4 linked regions of the Drosophila melanogaster genome follow. The protein of the gene in region 3 interacts with the protein of the main gene of each other region in a pairwise test. Each region holds a gene or a part of one and is shown on either strand. Other genes may lie near its edges.

Region 1 (3,176 bases), on a different chromosome or scaffold from region 3:
ATAAACATGCACTGTACTATTTTGTCCGGTGAGCACAGCTATCTACGTGACAAATAACGATAATGCAATTTGTTTTCCAAACCTATATGAAACGAGAAATAAGCCCCCATTATTGATAAGGAACTAAATCTTTTATCTAAATCTTTTGACAGTAGAAGATAACTCAAAGGATATTTTATATTTGCTCAAATCAGAATGCAGTTATCGAAAATTAAACTTCCCTTGAGCTGAAAATTTAGCTTGAATTTATAATTATACATATGTCCAAATGTAATACAGCTTCAGTGTGTGTACACATAAAATTCAAAACCCAAAAAATCCACAAAAATTGCTATTTTAGTAGGTATTGCGTTGAACACATCGGTTCTAAATGTGGCTGTTGTGCCATTAGTTACTCTTCTGTCTCTGTCTCGGTTTGAATCTCCATCTCGCTCTCTTCTTTTTAATTTTCCCGACTTGGTGCGCGGCAGTTGTAATAGAAGTTTTCCGGCTTCATGCACCTCCGCCCTTGCACCACCCCCTTTCGGCGACCATTGTGGTGGATTCAGTACACTCTTAAAAATAAGATGTTTAATAAACATATAGCAGGTGGAAGCCGAATGGAGCGATTTGCACCAAAACAAAGTAATAAAAACAAAATTTTCTTATTTTTTGCTTATTATTTCCTATCGAAATCTATATACCCCAAGCTGTGATTATTAGATTAAGCGTCTGCGATGAGGTAGCAAAATTCTAGCACTGCATTAACAGAGCTGATTTCTGATCAGGGGTTGAGGACCTTTAGCCTGATCTTTCTTCTTGTTAATTTGTTTTGCTTATTTTGGAGCTGATTAGCTATATACCGATTAAAAGCTTTTCAATTGCCACTAAAAAAAAAGTATAAGAAACGGCGAAGACTTTTTAGCGCTGCATTTAAATTCACAAGCTTAACAGTATTCTTTTAGGCTGAATTTGCTCTCAAAAAAAGTACAATTGGTTTGGAAAATTTTAAATGTTTTTGAATGTAACCAAACACAGCGAAAAAAAATACAAATAATATTTCTTTAAAAAAAAGGATGTAAAGAAATAAACTAGTCTTATTAGTTTAATAAATACAATTTTTTAAGACACATAATTTCTATGTTTTTATAGACGGTACTTGTGGAGTAATTGAGTATACCAAATTCTTTAAAAAGTCTGTGGGAGTTCGAAGAAGGCGTTGCCGAACCTTTACCTATACAGAATATATATATTCTTCACCAGCATCACCAGCGGAGTCTATCTAGCCGTATTCGTTTGGCCATCTGTCTGTAAGCCTGTCTGTATGAACTGAATGAGATTCAGACCTCTAAATAGTTCCAATTCTTTCAGAACCTGTGCCAACAACACTCTAGATTCTTCATTGATTTCATCTAGTCTTGTCTTGTAAATATCTTAGTTCTTCTATTAGCTAAGAAATGGGTATCTGATAATCGAGGAATGCGACTATAGTGGTCTAACCTGTTAAGCGCTAAAATTCAAAGACATAACATAATTATACGTATGTATAAAAAATTAATCCATGATTACAAGGATTTCATACTTAATTATCCCTCCTCATTTCGAAAGTCTAATGATAACCCAGAAAAGCAAACAAGAACATTTGTTGCCGTAACACGTTTGTGATGCGTGAAAACGGAACATAAATGATCTAAAGTAATCTCAAACAACGTCTTCTTCTAAGTCGCCCTTAGTTTTTCTTAGCAACTGTTGCGGACTTATTAGATTAGGCTCGACTTCCCAGATAAGATTGATGTTGAAGGGTTCCCCCCGTTGAGCATAGGCATTGATACAGTGCTCAAATATTAATTTCCCAGACGTCTGGAAATTTTTTTCGTATTTTTGTTGGGTTAATTGTACTTGATTTTGTCAGAACATTGATAATACTTCGGCGCGTGACGACATGATGAGATTGCAGGAGAGTATAAAAGATCGGAGGCGTCCAAAAATTTTATTCACATTAGCAAGACTAACCGAAGTATCAGCACCATGAAGTTTTTGGTACGTTTTACATATACGCTTCAAAGAAAAACCTTTAAGAACTAAGTTGATTTTAATATTGTTACAGATCCTCTTCATTGCCCTATTCGCCGCGGCCGCTGCCCTACCTCAGTTTGGATTCGGCGGTGGATTCGGTGATCAGCAGCAGCAGCAGCAAGGAGGATTTGGAGGTGGATTTGGTGATCAGCAGCAGCAGCAAGGAGGATTTGGCGGTGGATTCGGAGGTGGATTCGGTGATCAGCAGCAGCAGCAGCAAGGAGGATTTGGAGGTGGATTCGGAGGTGGATTCGGTGATCAGCAGCAGCAACAGCAACAAGGCTGGTAAAAACCAATTCATAGCACCGTCTTAACGCAGATACCTCAATAAAAATATGACACCTTTATGATAAAAAAACAATTGGAATTTTTTACTTTATCGTTCTCGAAAATTTATGAGTTTTATGAAAATAAATTTATATTTATTATTCATTTATATTTATTAAATAGTGCCCAGAAATAAATACACTTAACATAAGGGACAACGGGAAATATCTTCTCTTTCAGATGTTCAAATGGTTTTACTTAAAACATTGTAAATATAAATAAAAGCCAAAATATAAAAGCCATATTATAAATATAAGCCAAATTTTCACAAAAATTTTGTTTTTCTTTGAAATATGTAACGCAACTAAAAAGCGGATTCAACATGATTGAAAAAACAGATACAATTTCGAGTATCCTAATCAATGGCCTCCTCAGCAGCCACCCTTTTGTGCTCCTCGATCTGCACCTTGTCCAGATCGACTCCATCTTTTTTGGCTGCCCGTATCTCGCCTTCCCCCTCCGATCCGTCTAGCTGGTTGGTCTGCCAAACTCCTGTCCACGGCAGTGACATCACTGACATGACCTTGACCAGACTGCTATGGTTTTCCTGGTCTAGATCACTCTCCCCATTTCCTTCCCGTATTCGTCTGTCTCCATCCGGCAACTGCAACTCCTCGCAGCACAGCATGGAAATCAGCAAGTGCTCAACGAAGAGGGTTCGCCGCAGCCTTTGAGATTCGTCCGTATCGTGGCACTGCACTTTTTGCTGTGCAATCCACTGAAGTAGAACATATCTGTCGTCGTCGTGTTCGAATGGCCCCCCGGAACTCAAGCCTAACGCCAGGGACTCTGAA
Region 2 (7,570 bases), on a different chromosome or scaffold from region 3:
GTCAACCCACTGGCTTGATAGAGATCTGGACTCCCGGTTGCATTTCCGGACAGGTTAGGCTTATAGTCAGTCGTTCGTCAGCCAAGACCCCGATTCGCCCAAGGACCTAGGATAGTTGGTTAGAATGTACATGAAGCAACATACATAATTCACGAGAATTGTATACAACTACGCATAGATATTACCGGGCTGTACAGCACGCGACATAGCAATAGCAATAGCAAGTGCCACCCAAGGACTTCGATTCTGTTCCGGTTTTTGTTCATTTTCGTTTGCAGTGCTGCTGTACGATAATTAAGTAATCTTACATTTTATTTCTCCACCTACCTGACTAAATTATTTACTGTAATGTATATATATAAATTTTCAAATAAAACATAATATGCAGCCGACAGAAAGACTCAATTATGTGTTATTGTGTTTGACGAAAATATATATATAGATTATGGCACTCGATAACGGTCGATTGCTACCGAAAATTAACTTTAACTAATGAATCCCTTTTCTAGCAAATATGGTCGCCGAAGAGAGAGATATAAAGATTGATAATCCCAGAGCAATCCCCATAAGTATAGCTCAAGAATGTTAAATATAAGCCTTAGATCTTTAAAATCGGAGTATGAATAGGGCGCTGGATACGACCTACTAAACTTCCTGGTCTGATTTAAGCATGACCTAATGAGGTATTTAATTTGCCTCGAGTCATGCTGAAATTTGCATACAATGGAATATGGATATTTGTAAATGGCACGATTTGATAAATATGAAAGTAGCTGCATGCCAAAGCTTGCCCCACAAAACTATCGCCTAGATGCCAATAAGTCGATTGCTAGCATTTACCTTTTACAGAATAAATGACCAAAAACCTGGCCACTAACGACTGGCAGATGCACACAAAAAACATGCTGCTAAATAAAATTTCAGTTTTAGTTTAATTTTATTTTATTTATGTATAAGAAAAGATATCAAGAAACAACAACGAATTTTGCGCAAGACTGGTAAACTAAGTCATTGAAACTTAAATACTGTGACTTTTATCTTTTGGAATACCTATCTGTTTTCGAATAGATCTTCATACATTGTGCCACAGTGCACGGTCTTATTCATGGCCAATAAAGGCAGATGGGGTCATGGCGTGCTGATGTATCTTCGGCTGAAATCTCGAGTTCCTTCAACGAGGAAAACAACACGGATGTAATGAGAACGTCCACTGATTTGTTTGACTTGGCTAGTGCAATGCGCTGTAGAAGATCGCCTCACCATTGTTTGACCAAGTGCTTGATATCTTCATGCCGGAACAGCAGAGCAACGTGGGCCATCGAAACGCCTAACTGGTTTCTGCTGTTTCTGCCTCGGAGAAAGCTTCTTGCCGGTCACGCAAAAGCTGTCTTAACTAAAAACAGCGTCCAAGTTTTGAGAACTTTTCAGCCAGCTAGCCGAGAACGAGCGGAAAAATCAACTAACGCTCGCAGATGTGAAAAATCGCGATCGCGAGTCGGCTCTCACGTTGGCGGCAGCAGCCCGCGTTTTCAGTCGCTCCGTGAAACCCGTCGCACTCACATCGAAATCGCGCGCAAGTCGTCGGATCCAAATCGCCTCGAAACGCTACGCACTTGGAGGAGGCAAATATCAAATATATGAGAATAATTAGTTAGGAGGCAGCCGAATCAGCGGAATCAAATCGATTTCCCTCGACTGCATTTAGCAGTGCTGCACCATCAAATCAAAAATAAATTAGAAAGTGTAAGTGAATATATGGCTGGCTGCCAGGAGACTGACATTATCAGCGGAGAAATGCAGGCAGTTGGCAGCCGATTGGGCGGATCGGGAGATCAATCGATCGCCGTCGCATGCAAATCGAGTGATAAACGATCGCCTCGAAATTGAAATAACAGGCGAGCAGCTGGCCCCCGGAGGTGGATACATATGCATATGTGTGATCAAACAGAAGTGTTTCTCGGGGAAGGGCGGCGTGAGGAGTGGGAGGAGTAGGTAGCCCCCAGTAGCCATATACTCATATACCTATCTATACTATACAGCCAGTTACCCGACTTGAGGCGCGCTCGTCTGCCTTGCGGTTGTATGTGCTTATTTATACAAAATATATTCAATTTCATTAAGCTGTCGCTGCTGGCTGGCCGTCCAGTAATTTCAATATTCAAATGATCGCTGATAGCTAAACCCCCTGACTTTTTTACTTTTCTGAGCGCCCGCAAAAGCTGCGGTAAAATTGAGAAAACCGCAGCGTATAAATAATTGGAAAACAATAATGCCACTGTTTGATCGCTGACCCAAATTGGCAGAGAAAATGAATGCATCTTAATGAAAACAGAGTCAGTCTGTTTGCTGCAGGCATAGCGATCTATATAGTCGATGCACTCGGTGATGTCAGAATTGCGAACTGACATTGAAAGTCTGCGAACGGCGACAACCTGAAAGCCTTCTTCTTTGCCTTTTTGGGGACCTCAAGTTGAACACGTTGCGAGTTTAGGGATAAGTGGGCCATCCAGCCCAGTGTTCAGGTGTGCGGGGGCGTATACGTAATATGCGCGCCTGGCATACATTTCAACTGAGCCACATTTTGGCTATTCGCCTCAGTCGCGAACCATAAAAATCACATCAAAGCCCCAAATGAAAGCGTCGTTCATTGAATCTTAAGTGGCCACTCCTCCTGGGAAGTAATTATAAAGGGAAATAAACGGTCTTCAAGACAAAACTGTTTCTAATCCATCCACATTTGGCAAAGTTCAGTGACGCGCATCCACTTGGAAGCAGTGAAAAATGAACAATGTGAAGGTTACTCAATTTACAAGGCAACAGATAACGCCACCAAATTTTATTTGACAAAAAATATTCTGGCAGAACAAGCCAAGGCGTTCGCACACCTACGCCATACGAGATGGCACATGGGCGTAGAATTCTCGACGAACAGGTGTTGAAAATCATAAGGTGGAGTCCCATTCCTGACCCCAGACAGCCACTGATCAGAGATTGTGAGAGCTGTTCCAAAAGTTCCACCGCTTTTGTCGACTCTCTAGATTTCTAGTTGCTCGCGACCTTGTGATCTATTAATAAGTGTTTCGTGTTTTTATATATGAATCATTTTGATGGGCGATCTGTTTATGAGTTAACTTTCGTTTGGCTGGGAAAACGAAAAGCCCAAAATCCGAAAGATCCCCGAAAATTGAGTTTTTGATCGCGTCCAATGTCGCGGCTTCATTGACCCTGAAAACTATGTAGTGTCGACAGAACGAAAAGTATCTCATGGATGCGCGCACATTTGTATCTTGCGTCTAAAAGACGCCGCTGCCACTAGTAATTACAAAATCTTGTTCGGCAAACGGAAACTTCAAAGGCTGCAATTGAGTTTGCAGCTGCAACGGTTTTAATTGATTTATATGGCAAGTCGAGTAATGTTTAAAAAGCCGCGGAAAAAAGCCAATTTGACAAAAAATCAAAGACAAAAAGTCAAGTGGGAGCTGGAATAGCAGAAATAAAAAAAACAAAAAAAAAACAAAAATGCGGCGTGCTTTGGACCTGTCAAATTTGGTAGAACGATTTCTACCGGTTTCAAATGGACCTAAATAAATGAAAAAAAAAAACAGACCCGGCCACTCAAGTGAGCTCCCACTTTCTGTCGAAGATTGTAGATTGAGCAATTTCCAGCCACATACAAAATGACTTTGTCTTTTCGATAACTTTTGTGCCTGGCGCAAAAAGTAGCGCAGAAAAATGTCAAACTTAATTACGCGTTGAAGCGCAAACTAATTGCCGAGTGGATTTGCGGGCTTCAGCGGGCAGCAGGGTCACAAAAGTTCGAATGGCGATAAAGTCGACAACAGCCAAAGCCGAGAATAATTGGCTTTGGCTCCGTTTTGCGGCCCACGACAACAGATAATAGCCGCACACAAAAAAGTATCTGTCAGATATACATATTTAAAAGCTGGACACGTGCTCATTGCACACGAAAATTAGCATTTACTTGTGGATCGAACCCATTTTCCACAAGCATAAAGGCAATGGCAATTGAAATGATTTATATGAGCATTATTTCACTTCGCTTTACTAGACAAATGGGTCAGCTTATGGTTAATGGGATACGATAAATGATTACTTGTGTTTTTATAATTTGAATTTTATTGTAAATACTTGTAGTTAAAATAATTTGTATTATAAATTTTTATTGAAAGTTATTATCTCATATAAAGTAATAACAATAATTACAATATGACTACGTTCTGAGACCATTCTACTATTTCGTGGTCTGACCCACAAATTTTGCAGCCTGCGGTAAATGTTTTTTGTTTTCCTTTTCTTGGCTTGCATTTTCTAAAGCCACTTTCTAAAATAAATATAAAATATTGATGTATTCCATGAAAAACGTCAAAAATTCATGCTTGAGTAAGTGCATTCCCAATGCCTTTTAATTTGTTTGTCGACAAACTTTACCTTTCACAAAACCGGCAGCATCCGCCACACTTTTACTCCCACACCATCACACTTCAGACCCAAAGCAACTCCATCCAGCTACGTAGTGCACGTCCAACTGCCCAGTTGCACTTGTCAAGTCAGAAGACTTTCCAAGACTCCAAGCCTACGTCAAGTGGAGGCACGAATTCCTCGGAAAGAGTCGCCCACGCCATGGCTTGAACTTGACTCCAAAAGCTGCGAGTCACGCCTATATATACATATAGTAAAACCACTTTGTGTGAGGCGAGCGGAAGTCAACGTCAGCATTAGATGAGTTCATTGCGAATATTAACGCCATTAAACGAATGAGTGGGCTGATCGCTTCCATATCGAGGTTGTCTACCCCTTTCCACTGATATGGAGAAGTCTCTAATTGTTCGCCGAGGTCTAAAGTATCTTAGCTTTACTTGGGTTTGTTCTTCTAACCAGGTCAAAACAGCGATATCGCATTGCCGCAGAAAGTAACCCAAGACGTTTGTCTGAGTTGTAGAAACCAGACAAATGCTTTCTGCTCGGATCTGTATCCAATTGAGGTACCATTTATAAACAGACGCAAACGTGGAGATCGTCTGAGTTAAAAACCCGTGCGAAACGCGTGTAAACGGCATGTTAATGCGCCATATGTCCGGTTTATGAGCCCCGCCGCCAGTTTGTGACGAAACTATAAAAAAAAGTTTTTGAACTGCTATAATTTAAAGAATGTGATGTGATCTTCGGCACGCACCCTCACCGCCGCCCCTGATAATTGCGCAATTTGTATAACACTTCTGTTGCCCAGATTGTTCGCATCTCTTCACTGTGTTGTTGTAGGTCGTTTGAGGTGTGAAACTCAGCGGAAATGGGCTTTACATACAAATGGTATCTGTAAATGTATCTGTATCTGTTCGCTAAACTTTAGTTGTTTGCCCAAGGCATTTCCCAGCCAGCCTTTCTATAATGACTCAAAGCGTTTCCATGTAAGACAAGATATTTTGGCATGTGATTATCTCATCCAAGACCGCCGTGAGCCACATGTATACATCAGATATATCACATGGATACACAAGTGCCCGCATCCAATGGATGCAAACCAGCTGCAGCGGCATTTGCAAGTGCCAACATGCGCCACATCAATCTGCAGCCGGTCCGAGGCACGTTGAGCGTTTGATTAATTTAATGACAATGCCCGGTGGCGCTATTTCGCTATCTGGATAGATGGGTGCAACCCACATATGTATACTCGTACCAGTTCCGCCGATCGTGTGCGCATGCACCGATGATATAAACTTTCCCAAGCTCGCCATCTCTACTGCCATTCCAGCTCGAATCCCTGAAGGAATAGTACGATTAAATTAGTCATTCGTGTCGTTGATTTATTTTAGAGCTTCCATAAATATAAAGCTTACGTCTTTCAAGTATTTCACGCTTTCTGTCCATTGTTTTCTTTGTTTCTTCTATTTTTAAAGCACATTTGTTTAATAAACATTTATTTTTTTTGTGTGCTTGACGTCACAACTGGTAAAACTGTGGAATTTTAATGTTGTAGTATTGGTTGTCTTTACTTTTGCAATAGTTCGGATATTTCAATTAAGTTACAAAACATATCTTTGTCTAGTTTTACATGAGTATATCGAGAACTTACTCACTATTCTATTGCTGTGTTTTTATTCTTTTAAGTTATATGTGTTCAAAATGGTACTTGAAATTGATGATTGTGTTTCTTAATATTTTCAGCTGGTAATCACAATATAGATTTGCCAAAATGCCGAAGCCACTGTTAAATTCGTGCTGTCTGTGCCAATCGACCCGGAATGGCTCCGTTATCTCGGGCATACTGGCGATAGTCCTGTCGATCATCACCATCGTGGTGATCTTCACGACGCGGGTGCACTTCAAGACGATAATCTTTGACTTCATCCCCAATGACATTGTTAAGATAATTCTAGTCATCAATTTGTGCATGACGATCTTGATATCGCTGCTCATGATCATTGGTGCCCTGAAGGTGTGTACTCAGCTAATTTAATTAAATGCATACAATAAAAATCTATCTATGTTCCAGCGGAACCACTACCTGATGGTTCCATGGGTGGTCCTCGGCATTATGATTGCCATCGGTCTGCTGATCTCCGTCATCTACACGGGCATCGTCTTCTTCATCGACGGCTACGTGCTGACGGGAGTCCTCTGGCTGATCTTCGGCCTAATTGTCTGCGGTAAGTGCACTCCCTCTTGGTTGGTGAAAAATGGGTGAGGGGGGGGGGGGGGTCTTGCTACTTCTCCATGTGCGGTTTTTAGCACCGGATGACGGTTATTGCGAGCCGTTTTTAATTTATAGACGCATTTATCATGCCATGATTGCCCGTGTGCTGAAAACAGAAGTGCCCCGGCGCCGCAGACTAGAGGATTTTGGAGGTAACTTGCCGGGTGGTGCAAGCAAATGAGGCGCAAAGTGGCTTGTTGAGGCCATTTGTAGAAATGTCAGCTGCAGAACTTTGATAGGAGTTTATTGGGAAAGCTATACGATTGTTAAATAAGCTCATTAAATGAATCAAACAAATTTAATTGTATTAATTCAGCGGTATAAAAGTTAAAGAACCGAATCACATTGTGAATGCTTCAGGTTTATACATATATTCCTCGCTTTTTTTTTACTTTTGAAAAATGATATTTTTCAAGTTTTACAAATTTGCATATTAAATTTGATAAAAATTAAGTGCTTACCGAAAATGAACCACATACGAGTTAAAAGTCAATTTACATTACATCGTGTAAAATCGGATGCAATTCATGTAGAATATAAAATGACAGCACTCTTTTGCGCGCACATGCCCTAACCCAATGTTCCTCCTCCATCTTTCAGCGATTATGACCTATTGCTGGTGCGTGGTCTATAGTGAATACGCCAACCTGTCCGAGGAGAACGAGCGCGGTCGTTACAACAAGCAGCCGTACCGTCGCTAGAATCTCCAGGAGCACTATTCATCAGAAATTGCATTCAAGAAGCTGAATCCACCACCCACACATCTTCATCCTAGCTTCCTATGTTCGTTTTTAGTGATTATGTCTAACTAATAATTATAATTTAGTTGAGGCGAGCCAGCCCTTCGCTCACATCGAA
Region 3 (3,590 bases):
CTTGGAGTCCATTCTAGGTGGGAATTTTCTATTGATGTCCACTATAACAGCGCTGTCTTGTCCATAAAAACGAGGCAGCATCGACACTCTAGCCTGGATGCACTGCACCATGGCCAAGGACCAGAGAAAACGCATTAGCACACCAATCATACCGTTCACTTCAAATGTTTAAGGACAACTAACCAACGAGATAGTTCAAAACCGTTTGAAGTAGACTTTCAACTCTGGCGCAAATCTCGTTTTAGGGAACCCACCATCTGTGCTACCTCTGAATTCATGGGAACGTGCTTGGAAGCCTACCTGCTGGGTCATAGAAAATCACGCATTTCCATTGAATTTTCCACCTACGCGACGAGCAGGAATGCGATTACGCTTCGCTACCTGGTTTTTGTTAACAAAAGAAATGGTTTTTCATGAGGGATTCGAATTTCAAGGGCTAAGGAAAACGGGGAAAATCAAAGGAAACTAAAAAGAGACCTAGATAAACAGAGTCTCCTCCAGATGAGGATGAAATACAAATTTCCGTGGTATATTTCAACAAACTAAAACATGTTTTATTATCGTAATTAAACCTTAAAGTGGAACACTCGATGGCCACGCGTATGGTACAAATTGTGGCCATCAAATCCAGTCACAGATCTCTTAGAAACTAGGAGGAATTCTAAATTCGCAAGCTTTGCCCGAAGGATGCGTTTGTGGGATAGGTTGTATTTACACAGGGTTTACGTACATGAATTTTGCAGCGGAAAACAAATTGCAAACAATTGAGAGACACACGCCATGTAAATTGGTTTAGGGGGGGGGGGGGAGTACTGGGAATTTTACATGCCTCTGGGCAGCCGCATGGCTATCAACACTTCGACACGCCCACCAAGGCCGGACGTATGCAACGCTCGTGCAGTTTGTAGCCCAGCTTGGTCACCTCCACCACGGTGTTGGGCTCGACGGTCTTGTCCTCCTTCTGGAACAGCGCCTCGTGCTGATTGGGGTCGAACTTCTGGTTGATGGGATCCAGTGGCTCCAGTCCGTGTCGCTTGAACACCTGCAGCAGCGAGGCGCGCGTCATGGTGAGGCCCTCGTACAGGTTCTTCAAATCAGCATTGCCGCTGAGCTGCAATAATTAAGATCATTAGTAAGGGTAGCTTTAAGAATGTTAATGCAAAACGATTAAACTATCTATTAAGTCTAAAATGGCTAACAAGTTATCCAAATATCTCAATTTAAAATACCCCAACAAATCTATATGTACAATTAGATGTATGTAATGCAATCGGGTTTGTTATCTCTCAGATAGAAATGGAAAGATCGGGAAAATACACCTTAAAATGCTATGAAGATTTTCAAGTATTGGCAACAAATAATTACGAAATTCTTATCTCAACATATGCAACTTCATTGCGAGTCTGAATCCTTAAGATACCTTAAACCTTAAATCTTAAGATAAGATAGTTTGTACCTTATCCTTGGGCACCGCCTGTGTGGCATGTCCCAGTGTGTCCGCCACCTCGAGCAGATCCTTGCAGAAGCTCTGGATGCCAAAGATCTTGGCGTCGCTGATCTGTTTGTTCAGTCGGTTCCTCATGTTTTCGCTGTCGGCTAGCGAACGCTTGTATTTGTCCATTAGCTCGGCATTCTGCTCCTTGGCGGCGGCCAGTTCCTTGGTGAGTTTCTCAACTTCTGGCGACGATTCGGTGGCCTTCTGCTCTGTCGCTTCTTCCGGCTGTTTCTCTGTGCTGTACAAACGCAGGGCACTGGTTGTGTGGTAGACGATTGGGAGTGAGACGGGAGGCAATGTTAGAATTACATGCGAAACGACAAACGTGCGCCCTCATTACGTCACAGATAAGAGGAAGCAATGCAACCGGAATTACCTCATATTTTGAGAAGTGACCGATGACCTCAGGTGGACGAGTCGCCGGCCAAACATCTGCAGTGGTAAGGCTGCCTTTGCTGACATTATGCTTAGCTTTTTCGTACGTTAAATAAACTTATTCCGCTTTTGACGTAAAATCGTCGGCTTCACAGCTCTCTCAACAATCGATGTGTGTTCGATAGTAATTGTTTATCGATTCCACCCGGTGTTGCCGCTTAGTGTGACCGCAGCGCAGCTGTAGAATGCAACAGTCAAGTCGGATGTAGAATAGATGTAAGCTCGGATTCATTCATGTAAAAAATTATTTACATTAAATCCAAAGAAAATCTCTTTATATAACTAAAATACTTAAAAATAAATTAAGAAGGAAATCGGTGCAAGTAATAAATAAATATTTAAATAGCATCAATATTACCAAAATGAAATCAAAAATGTATGAAATTTTACCACTTTACACACTTAAACCCAAAAATGCAATAAACAAACAATTATTATTAATAAAGAAATCCCTACTTGATCAGTAGTTCCTGACACCCCTGAGAATTCACCTTGGTCATAAATACAAATTTAAAGCGACAAAATATTTCTTATATAAAATGGACAAACGGAATATGCAAATGGCATATAAAAATGTGAAAATGTGTATCGACAATATTGGCAGGCGCAGGTCCACTTAAAATCGATCGGTGTTAATGCAAAAATGGGCCTATATTCTTGGCGCTACCTTCGGACATATATTATTAAGAGTGCGCCACCGGCTATTAATCCACGCATAGCTTATAAATCGATCTCATACCAGATCGGCCACGCCCCGGGGCCGCCAAAATATGGACCGCTCGAAAAAAGTTGCTCTGGAAATGTAAATATCGGAAGGCTCTTAATGAATTCAAAGTACGAGTGTACGAGGCGGGCATAGCATCTATTCAACAACTTACCTCTCCGATCGCACTGCCAAGTATTACATATGCGCATGCATTGTATATATTTTGGAAAACGAAGCACGAGAAGTCACTTAGTTGGATCTCGCCACCGGAACAACGAGGTTGTCGTCTCAAAACTCGGTTTTTTTTTCATACTTTTCCAATAAAAAAAAACAACAAAAAATGCGTGAGGAGGATCTCCAATTGGCCCTCCAAATGGTGGCAAGTACCTCGGTGTCCAGTTCTCTGGAGGAGGAAAATGATGGAGCGGCAGCCACGTCGCCGGGCAACTCACCCAAGCCATTGAGAAGAGTCCTGGATTTGAGTGAGAGGCGTAAACAATTCAGGTGGGTGGACTAAGAAAGCTTCACAGGAAGGGAAATAAAGAGGTAAACATAGTAAACATGTAGTTTAGACTAGGTTTTATACAAAAACTACAGCTAAAGCTAGTTTCAACAGTGTCTATAGTAGATTTCCTATTAAAGAAAGATTCCAAGTGCTATTAATAGCTATCTGTGCAATAAAAACACATTAAAAAACAATATATTAAATGATATTCTTAGATCTAATTAAAGTTTTTCACACAATGCCATTTCTCCGCCATATAGTTGTATATTGTTTATAAGCGGTTCTAAAAATAAACAACAAAAATGTTTGTTTGAGAGGTTAAAAGCACTCAAAAACACGTACAAATTAGGCTAAAAATAAAAATGGTGTTTTCACGTGCCTGACTAATTTGCAATGCCAAGTACACTCCTTTGTCGACATTAATTATGAATGACGAATGCTCTTCTGAA
Region 4 (7,886 bases), on a different chromosome or scaffold from region 3:
AACTTATCGAGCACTTATGTAAATTGTTATTTATAGTGCCGGATCGCACTTCTCCATGTCATCGGGCTTGTTACTCGCTACTCTTTCAATCCCCGGAACCAGCTTAGACCAAAGTTCATGCCCAGCCAGCTGGGTGATCATTGGTCACCAGTGGCACTTGATAAAGTCATGACGTTTTCTACATTTGTTACACTTTGCTCCGTTCTCCATTATTAGCTTAGGAAAATACAAAACAATACATTACTTACTATATCAATCAGCTATTGTTTAGTACGCGACGAGGAGGGACAAAGTCCGCCGGAGGATTGAATCATATACTAGTAGAGTGGGATCGGGGTTCGTTTGATGGTGTAATTAATACGATAATAACTAAATAAGCACTTATCAATGAAGTTGAATTGCTGGGGAATGAAAAGTGGAATAGTTTGGAGTTCCGAAATGGAAAGTGAAAACATACAGATTGTCGGTATAGTATTGTTATAGTATTATTTAATAATGCAGTTAAAAGTCCGCTAAGTTTAGTTGAAGTTTATTGTAGTGTTATAAAATACATTCTAGTTGAATGCAAAATTAAGTATATTATGCACATCAAATTGCAGTATTTAGCTTAATTATTACAAAACTGGATATCAAACATTGGTTGCAAAATCTAGTCTTGAATAAATTGAAGTTTAGTGTTTCTTTTATATATATGATTAAAGTATTATATGATATGATCAAAGTATTATACGGATACCTCTTCGAATTCAAAATCCAATCTCTTTGTTCCATAAATTCACGTGGAAATGGAAATGAGTGGCGATAACCTTGCTCCGCGAATGTTAATTAACCCACAAGGGATCGATGAGCACCGAACAAGGAAGCTAAACGGTGAAGTAACTCTGATTCACGAGCGGCACAAAGAGCCTTAACAAGCAAACCAACCTATTGGCGGGCACATTGTGAACATATATAGGCATTGTTAACTGGCCCGATAATATTCAGTCCGTGGAATAGAGCTCGCTTTTGTTTCAGAATGAAACCGAAATGAAGAAAGCGACGCGGGAATGTTTATTACGTATTACGTATACGCCAATTATGGAGTGTCAAAGAAATTCGATAGGTGGACTTGTGACCCCAAAGCACGATCCGTTGTCAACCGGAGCAATCGGGCCGAGATCGTGATCGTGTGCCGCCAAAAAGCCAAAACTCAATCAGCCAGGTGAGAATACCTATGTGCGTGTGTGTGTGCTCCGTGCGCGTTGGTGTGCGTGAGCGGCTCTTATCAGCGAAGGAAAACGACAATATAACAACGGCTAAACACTAATAACCAATGCGAAATATACGCGAGCAGCGACTGCCGAACGATCTTGGTTTTGGATTCAGTGCTGCGAATCTAGCTATTTTCACCTGCAGGAAAATTTAATAAAATATGGCATAATTACTAATTCATTTTAATTTAATTTTACTCCCCCGTTACGTTTAATAGTTTACAAGAAGCTTTCTTAAATATTTGCACATTGTTTATACTTAGACTTTTGCAATAACAAAAATGATAAACTAAAAAACTGGTTTTGTATTGTATTCTATATCTAACTCTTAAGATACCCAATCCAATTAATAGCAGATACAAGATGTTTGATTGTAGCTTGTAGTTCAATGTACAAAGATCAGAAACTGAAAGATGATTCATCTTATTTATAAATGGATTACCACTTCAGTAGCTGCAGTAGCTTAAGTAATAACTACTTTAAAAACAGGTTTGTGATTGATTGATAATCAAAAGATTTGTTAAATAAAGTTATTTACTGAATTTAAATGCATACTAGTTGATTTATTTCCCGCCATAGATGTAGAGCTGCCACCACTGAACGCCTTCGATAAAGCCCGCGCTCCACACACATCCACACCCACATCCACTTGGGGAGCTGAGATACACGACACACACCCGCTGAGACAGCCGATCGTGTTCTTTGTGGCCAGTGAGTCGTCAGCTGGGCCGACGAAGCGATTCTCCGACTTCTGGACGATCGGTTTGGGATCGGGAATGGGTATTGGTATGGGTATGGGTATGGGAACGGGAACTGCTACCGTCATACAGCCATTCGGCGCTGCAGCACCAGAGCTAGCTGGGATCACTGTTTGTTGACTGGACGCCAGTCGCGCACGTCGCTTCGAAGAAGCTGTTACTCGGTTGTGCGGATCGCGAGTTAAGTCCGTGCGAAGTAGTAGTTTCCCTGCAAATCCCTTCCAGAGTGCGTTAATCCTGACTCTCTTAAGGGTAAGGACTCCACTTGAGTGCACACACACAGCTGTGCTCATGCAAGGGGATGAAGTGAATCCAAAGAAAAGGATACAAAAATTAATGTATAAAAAATGAAAATTATTGGTGTAATTAATGTGATAAGTTTTAAATAAAACGCACTATCAATTAATCTGTGACAACCGCAATACGAGTGAGCCAACAAAAGCAAGACATATTTTATAAATTTACTAGAAACAATAAGTGGCTGAAAAAAAAACTAGAGCAGCGTATTAAATTTATGAATTTAAAAAGAGTTAAATTTTGGAAATTAGAGTTTCATCTAAGTGACTGCAAATTTATAAAAAAAAACATATTCAAAGATTTCAGTAATAAGTGGAGTATTGATGTAATACCTACTTCGCCAGTCGCAGTAAAATGAATTGACGTTTTTAAGACAGAAATTTATTGGCCAAGAGCTTATCAGTGAATTTAGATATAAACGCCAGTCTTTGTTAACACACAAAACTCATTCGAATCGCACGAAGGCAAGTGTTAAATGACTCAATGATTCATGCTACGATATATGCCATGGAATAGATACAAGTGAAATGTATCTTTTTGGCGACTCGAGACCTGATCACTTGTGGGTCACATCCGATTGGGATGACCCCCAATCCGAAACTGCCAAGTTCGCTTTTCGCGCTCTGAGCTCCAGATTTGTAACATGTGAAATGAATAAAATCGATTAGTTGACACAAAGTTTTGTCACAGAATGCGGCAATCGCACTCAAAATCAATATGACAATAATCGAAGACCAAAGATGGGATGCGGTTGTTATTTCCGAATTATCACGCATTATCAGAAATGCATAAACAGAAATCTGTTCCGAGTCATCGAATGGGTTTGAATCGGTAGGGATTTGCTCCCGTTTCCCCATTACCCCGATATTCCGATCTTGAATCAAACAGCTGCTGCTTTCGTTTCCATCTCCTCCCAGCTGCACTGCCGCATAAAATCTGGCGGAGAAGGGGATCCGGTGAACCGGTTTGCAAGGTATACAAGCTATACAAAACAATGTTTCAACGCAGCATCAGCACACAAATGATATACATGGTATACATATGTACGTATGTGTGATGTGTGCACATAAGTGCTGTGGTGTTAAAGGCCGATCTAAGTCTCCGAAAGTCGCAGGCAAACACGAAATGTAAAGCCGGGCTCGAACAAAGGAGTCCAAGAAAATAGCAAGCCCGGCAAAACGTGACCACGGTGGGATCTACTCCGGCATCAGTCAATAATGATGTACAGCCAGCCGATTAAGAGCCATCAATGTCACTCCCTTCGTGACATCCAGGTCATCATCGGGAAATATGGGGCATTGACCATAGGTAACTGTGTTATAACTTAATTAGGTGCATGGCTGCGGAGCAGTTCCCACTGGCGAAGCCCCTACCTTTCCCAACTACTCGAAAACGGAAAGGGAAATCTCCCGGTCGAGGAATTTGCCCAGCTCCTGATAAGACTGCTCGGGCTATATTATTTAGACATTCGTCACAGGTATAAGATTGATTATAATATGAACTTTCAGAAGCGCAGATTCGCAACCTATAAGATACAATCTATACATTGGTGTAACTACAGCCATGCCATATCTGGATCTACTTTCCAAGCAAAAGGATTGCATCCACACAGTTAATTATGAATAATTGATTTAAACAATTTTCATTTCAATCCCACTTTGATAAGCTGTAGCCCATCAATATGTAGCTGCAGCTACATTTATTGCATTTATTACATTTGTTGTTAACTCGCCGCTTGGAACAATGCTTTTGTTTTGATCAGCTCGGATCGGATCGGATCAGATGGGATGGGATCGGATCTAGAGAATCGAGTGGATCGCTTGGATGGACGGATCAATGGCAGATGTGCATATACGACGGCACTCTCACCATCGCCATTCCATCATTCCATTTCCACTCAATTGTGCCGCTTTATTGTTTGCCTCCGCCTCCGTCTGAGCAATTGTACCTTGATCTTTTCGCAAATCTGTGCATTAAATGTACTCGCATTTAATTGTCTTTTGCAGCAGTGCGAAATGTGGAGTAAACTGCGTGCTACATTTCGCTTATGTAAACTGGCACTTAATGCGAACGGTGGATGATAATTGCATGGTTTCGACATCCATCCAATTCGACACCATGTCTTTGGTTAATCGGAAGCATCATCTACGCTGGATTAGTTGCTATCCCCATCGATCCTCCTCCCTTTACATGCCCTTTAAAATTAACAATCTCACCGTGCAATCGTGAATAATCCATGTGAATATGACGGGGTTAGACGACAAAGGTTGATCGATCTCCCCCAGCTTTCGATCAAAGTGCACATTCAGCTGGCGTGGAACCCGTTTCAATAAGCTAAGCTAAATATTTTGTATCGGCTAGCAACTGGTTGCCAACTGATTCCCACTTTTAGCCACGCACCTTGCACAATCCATCAAATCTGCAGACAAAGATCCAACTGGCTAATCATCAAGAGAAGAGTTTCATATAGAGTTAAGCTTTTAGGATGTAATAGAAAACTTTCAGTGAATCCGAAATATATATTTTTATTATATTACAGTTGACAGGCTATCCTAGAATCCCAGAATGGCGACACCGCGCGAGCAGTTCTTGTTCGGCAGCGACAACGGAGTGGCCGGCCTCGGTCTGGGCATCGAGATCGGGGAGGTGACCTCCAGTCGCGTCTATAACAGCACCACAGTGCCAGTTGGCAACAGTGGCGGATGGCGGAATGCCCAGTCCAGTGTTACGCCACCACCCATACCCACACCGCCACAGGTGAACTATACCAATGGGAATGAGCCCAGCAAGCAGCCGCCACTGGAACCTGTCGTGGAGGAGGAGGTGCACTTCGACACCGATGCCCTCAATAATCTGCCAGCTCGCGAGCCTGTGGACATGGAGTTCAAGGAGCTGTCCCTCACCGTCAAATTGGGCTTCAATCGAGGTGAGCTACAAGAAGCGAGTTGTCGCTAACTAACCATTGCGATCGCATGATCTAAGATATGGCTCGATAAGATTGGGGCAGCGGAGAACTTAAAATTAGCTGGGCATTTATATATGTTTTACGATCAGCGGCTACTCTTTGAACGGGAATGACCTTCAATTCTTTATATCCTACCAATATAGTCTCATAAATAATATCTAAATTATGACTAGACAAAACTACTGTTATAATAGAAGATAAAACATATGCTAGAAAGTCTTTTCATTAATAGTATTCTAAGGGATACAGATATACTCAGATAAAGCAAATCCTTCAGATACTATATTTCAAATGTTTCTTAAGTACGAGTGCCATAAGATAATTACATCCGAACAAAGTTTACTACAAGGTTATTCTTTTCGGCAGTGCCTCCACATACCAATCACTTGCCAAACACTTGCTTGCTAGTTCTTTAACCAACTTGGTTTTCCATTGATTAGATAAGAGCCGATCACTCCGCTTATTCCGATCACACCCCCTTCCCGGTTGTATATATTCAATGCCAGTTAGTCATTCATAAATTCCCTTTCCGTCGAGTCCATAAAATGATAAGAAATAACTTGCCAATACGATAGTTAGTAGAGCATTTGTAATTCGATATGATGGGTTTGGCTTTAGAACATTTTGCTAATTTCAAAGTTCAAAAGATATCGACATTGTTTAGCCCCTGGTAACTTGATTAGAACTGCACAAATTTTCAACCCGTGGCGGTAATTAATTAATCAACCTTTCGGTAGGTGGATATATGGCCATTGCTATCGGAATGTTAAATTGGTGACTAGAAGTGCTAAAATGTGTAATATTGCTAACATAACAATACGATTACTGTGAAAGATTGAGTTAATTAAGCTAAACCCTTTTTCCCTATATTTGCAACTCTTTTCTATGGCTTGATACGTATATCACCTAGAATTGTTTACTGATTTGAATTGTTTTCGAGTTGTGTAGTTAACAGGTTATTCACTGAAGTGGATTAATGTAGATTTACTCGAGATCTTACCTCAATAGCCGTTTAATTCAGCCAAGTTATAGCCTGCAGATGATTCATGAATATCGTCGCTCGTACGCGTACTCATGGGTTCTCCATTGGTTCCCTGAACCTTGATACCGACGACCGTATAAAAAAAAAACACACTGAATGTCTATTAAGTTTTTATGATCATATTTTACGATGGCATTTAAGTAATTTCGCAATTTCTTAGGATCCAAGGAAATCTTGCACAATGTGTGCGGAAAGTTCCCAGGCAGCCAGCTGATTGCCATCATGGGACCTTCGGGTGCAGGAAAGTCCACTTTGCTAGATGCCCTTTCAGGTTTCAAGACGACCGGAGTGGATGGCTCCATCTTGCTCAATGGTCGGCGACGTGATTTGCGTTAGTATATGACCTCACTTAATTTATTCAATATATCCAGAATTCATGGTAATCCCTCCCTGCAGCTTCCTTCCGTCGGATGTCCTGCTACATCACCCAGGATGATCGTCTGCAGCCGCTGCTGACGGTAAACGAGAATATGCATATAGCCGCCGATCTTAAACTGGGTCAGACAGTCAGCTACGAGGAGAAGGAGAGCAGGGTGAGTGGGGTGATCTTCACTTAAAGATCATAGTCATAAATCGCGGATTTACCCTTGCAGATCGAGGACATTCTGCTGCTCCTTGGTCTGTACAATCACGATCAGACCCTTACAATGCGCCTGTCCGGTGGTCAGAAGAAGAGGCTATCCATTGCCATGGAGTTGATCAATAATCCCACTGTGATGTTCCTGGACGAGCCCACAACGTATGAGCCAATATATCCATTTTTAACAAACTGAGGAATGTTTACATCTTGCTTTTCTTTCTTTCAGTGGCTTGGACAGTAGCTCGTGCACAAAGGTCCTGGAGCTGCTCAAGAAGTTGACCAGCCAAGGACGCACCATTATTTGCACCATCCATCAGCCGACGGCCAAGTTGTTCCAGATCTTCGATCAGGTCTACGTCCTGTCCGCTGGCAACTGCGTCTACCAGGGCAGCACCCAGAAATTGGTGCCGTTCCTGCAGTCGGTGGATCTGCCCTGTCCGATGTACCACAATCCAGCGGATTACAGTGAGTCCAGCACAGATCTCTGAGTGAATTTACACTAATACAATCCTTATTGCTCCAGTTATCGAGCTCGCTTGCGGAGAGTATGGATACGACAAGGTCGACACCCTTAAGCTCGCCACTGAGAACGGAAGCTGCCTGACTTGGTTCCATAATCCCAGTGCGGTGTTGCGCGCTGAGGTCTTGATGAGAAAGTATCCCATACCAAAGAAAACCAAAAGCCGATCCCTGGAGGACACCAGCTACTCAAACCAGTGCTCTGTGCTTTTGCGACGAGGTTTCATCAAAGCCAAACGAGACACGACCATGACGCACTTGAGGATCGGAGTCAACATAGCAGTGGCCGCTCTGTTCGGAGCTATGTACGATCACACGGGACGTGAAGGATCACGAGTGCTCGACAACTACAATCTTCTGTTTGCCATACTGATGCACCATTCCATGACCACGATGATGTTGACTGTTCTGACTTGTAAGCTCACTTGAGTCGATTGCGTAGACATATTAACTTATTTGAATATCATTTGACCAG

The links.
Region 1: the proteins of Roe1 (region 3) and CG31775 interact in a two-hybrid assay, tested with the Drosophila melanogaster proteins (one large-scale study listed by BioGRID).
Region 2: the proteins of Roe1 (region 3) and CG10311 interact in a two-hybrid assay, tested with the Drosophila melanogaster proteins (one large-scale study listed by BioGRID).
Region 4: the proteins of Roe1 (region 3) and CG5853 interact in a two-hybrid assay, tested with the Drosophila melanogaster proteins (one large-scale study listed by BioGRID).

The regions. Positions count from the first base shown.
Region 1 is NT_033779.5:14,736,562-14,739,737, reverse strand, and holds CG31775 (uncharacterized protein), read left to right. Parts: upstream 1-1,968; 5' UTR 1,969-2,007; coding exon 2,008-2,019; intron 2,020-2,086; coding exon 2,087-2,344; 3' UTR 2,345-2,648; downstream 2,649-3,176. Other genes in the region: CG31835 (uncharacterized protein), read right to left, coding at 2,738-3,176.
Region 2 is NT_033777.3:16,350,973-16,358,542, reverse strand, and holds the start of CG10311 (uncharacterized protein), read left to right. Parts: upstream 1-1,527; 5' UTR 1,528-1,743; intron 1,744-6,183; 5' UTR 6,184-6,211; coding exon 6,212-6,454; intron 6,455-6,511; coding exon 6,512-6,665; intron 6,666-7,312; coding exon 7,313-7,413; 3' UTR 7,414-7,570. Other genes in the region: CG17931 (uncharacterized protein), read left to right, coding at 1-1.
Region 3 is NT_033778.4:13,552,548-13,556,137, reverse strand, and holds Roe1 (Roe1), read right to left. Parts: upstream 2,062-3,590; 5' UTR 1,958-2,061; coding exon 1,872-1,957; intron 1,752-1,871; coding exon 1,457-1,751; intron 1,112-1,456; coding exon 851-1,111; 3' UTR 532-850; downstream 1-531. Other genes in the region: link, read right to left, coding at 1-150. UniProt on the Drosophila melanogaster protein: Essential component of the PAM complex, a complex required for the translocation of transit peptide-containing proteins from the inner membrane into the mitochondrial matrix in an ATP-dependent manner.
Region 4 is NT_033779.5:9,941,640-9,949,525, reverse strand, and holds the start of CG5853 (uncharacterized protein), read left to right. Parts: upstream 1-1,877; 5' UTR 1,878-2,260; intron 2,261-4,844; 5' UTR 4,845-4,870; coding exon 4,871-5,231; intron 5,232-6,467; exon of another isoform or gene 6,468-6,472; coding exon 6,473-6,643; exon of another isoform or gene 6,644-6,708; coding exon 6,709-6,845; exon of another isoform or gene 6,846-6,905; coding exon 6,906-7,051; exon of another isoform or gene 7,052-7,118; coding exon 7,119-7,357; exon of another isoform or gene 7,358-7,415; coding exon 7,416-7,826; exon of another isoform or gene 7,827-7,886.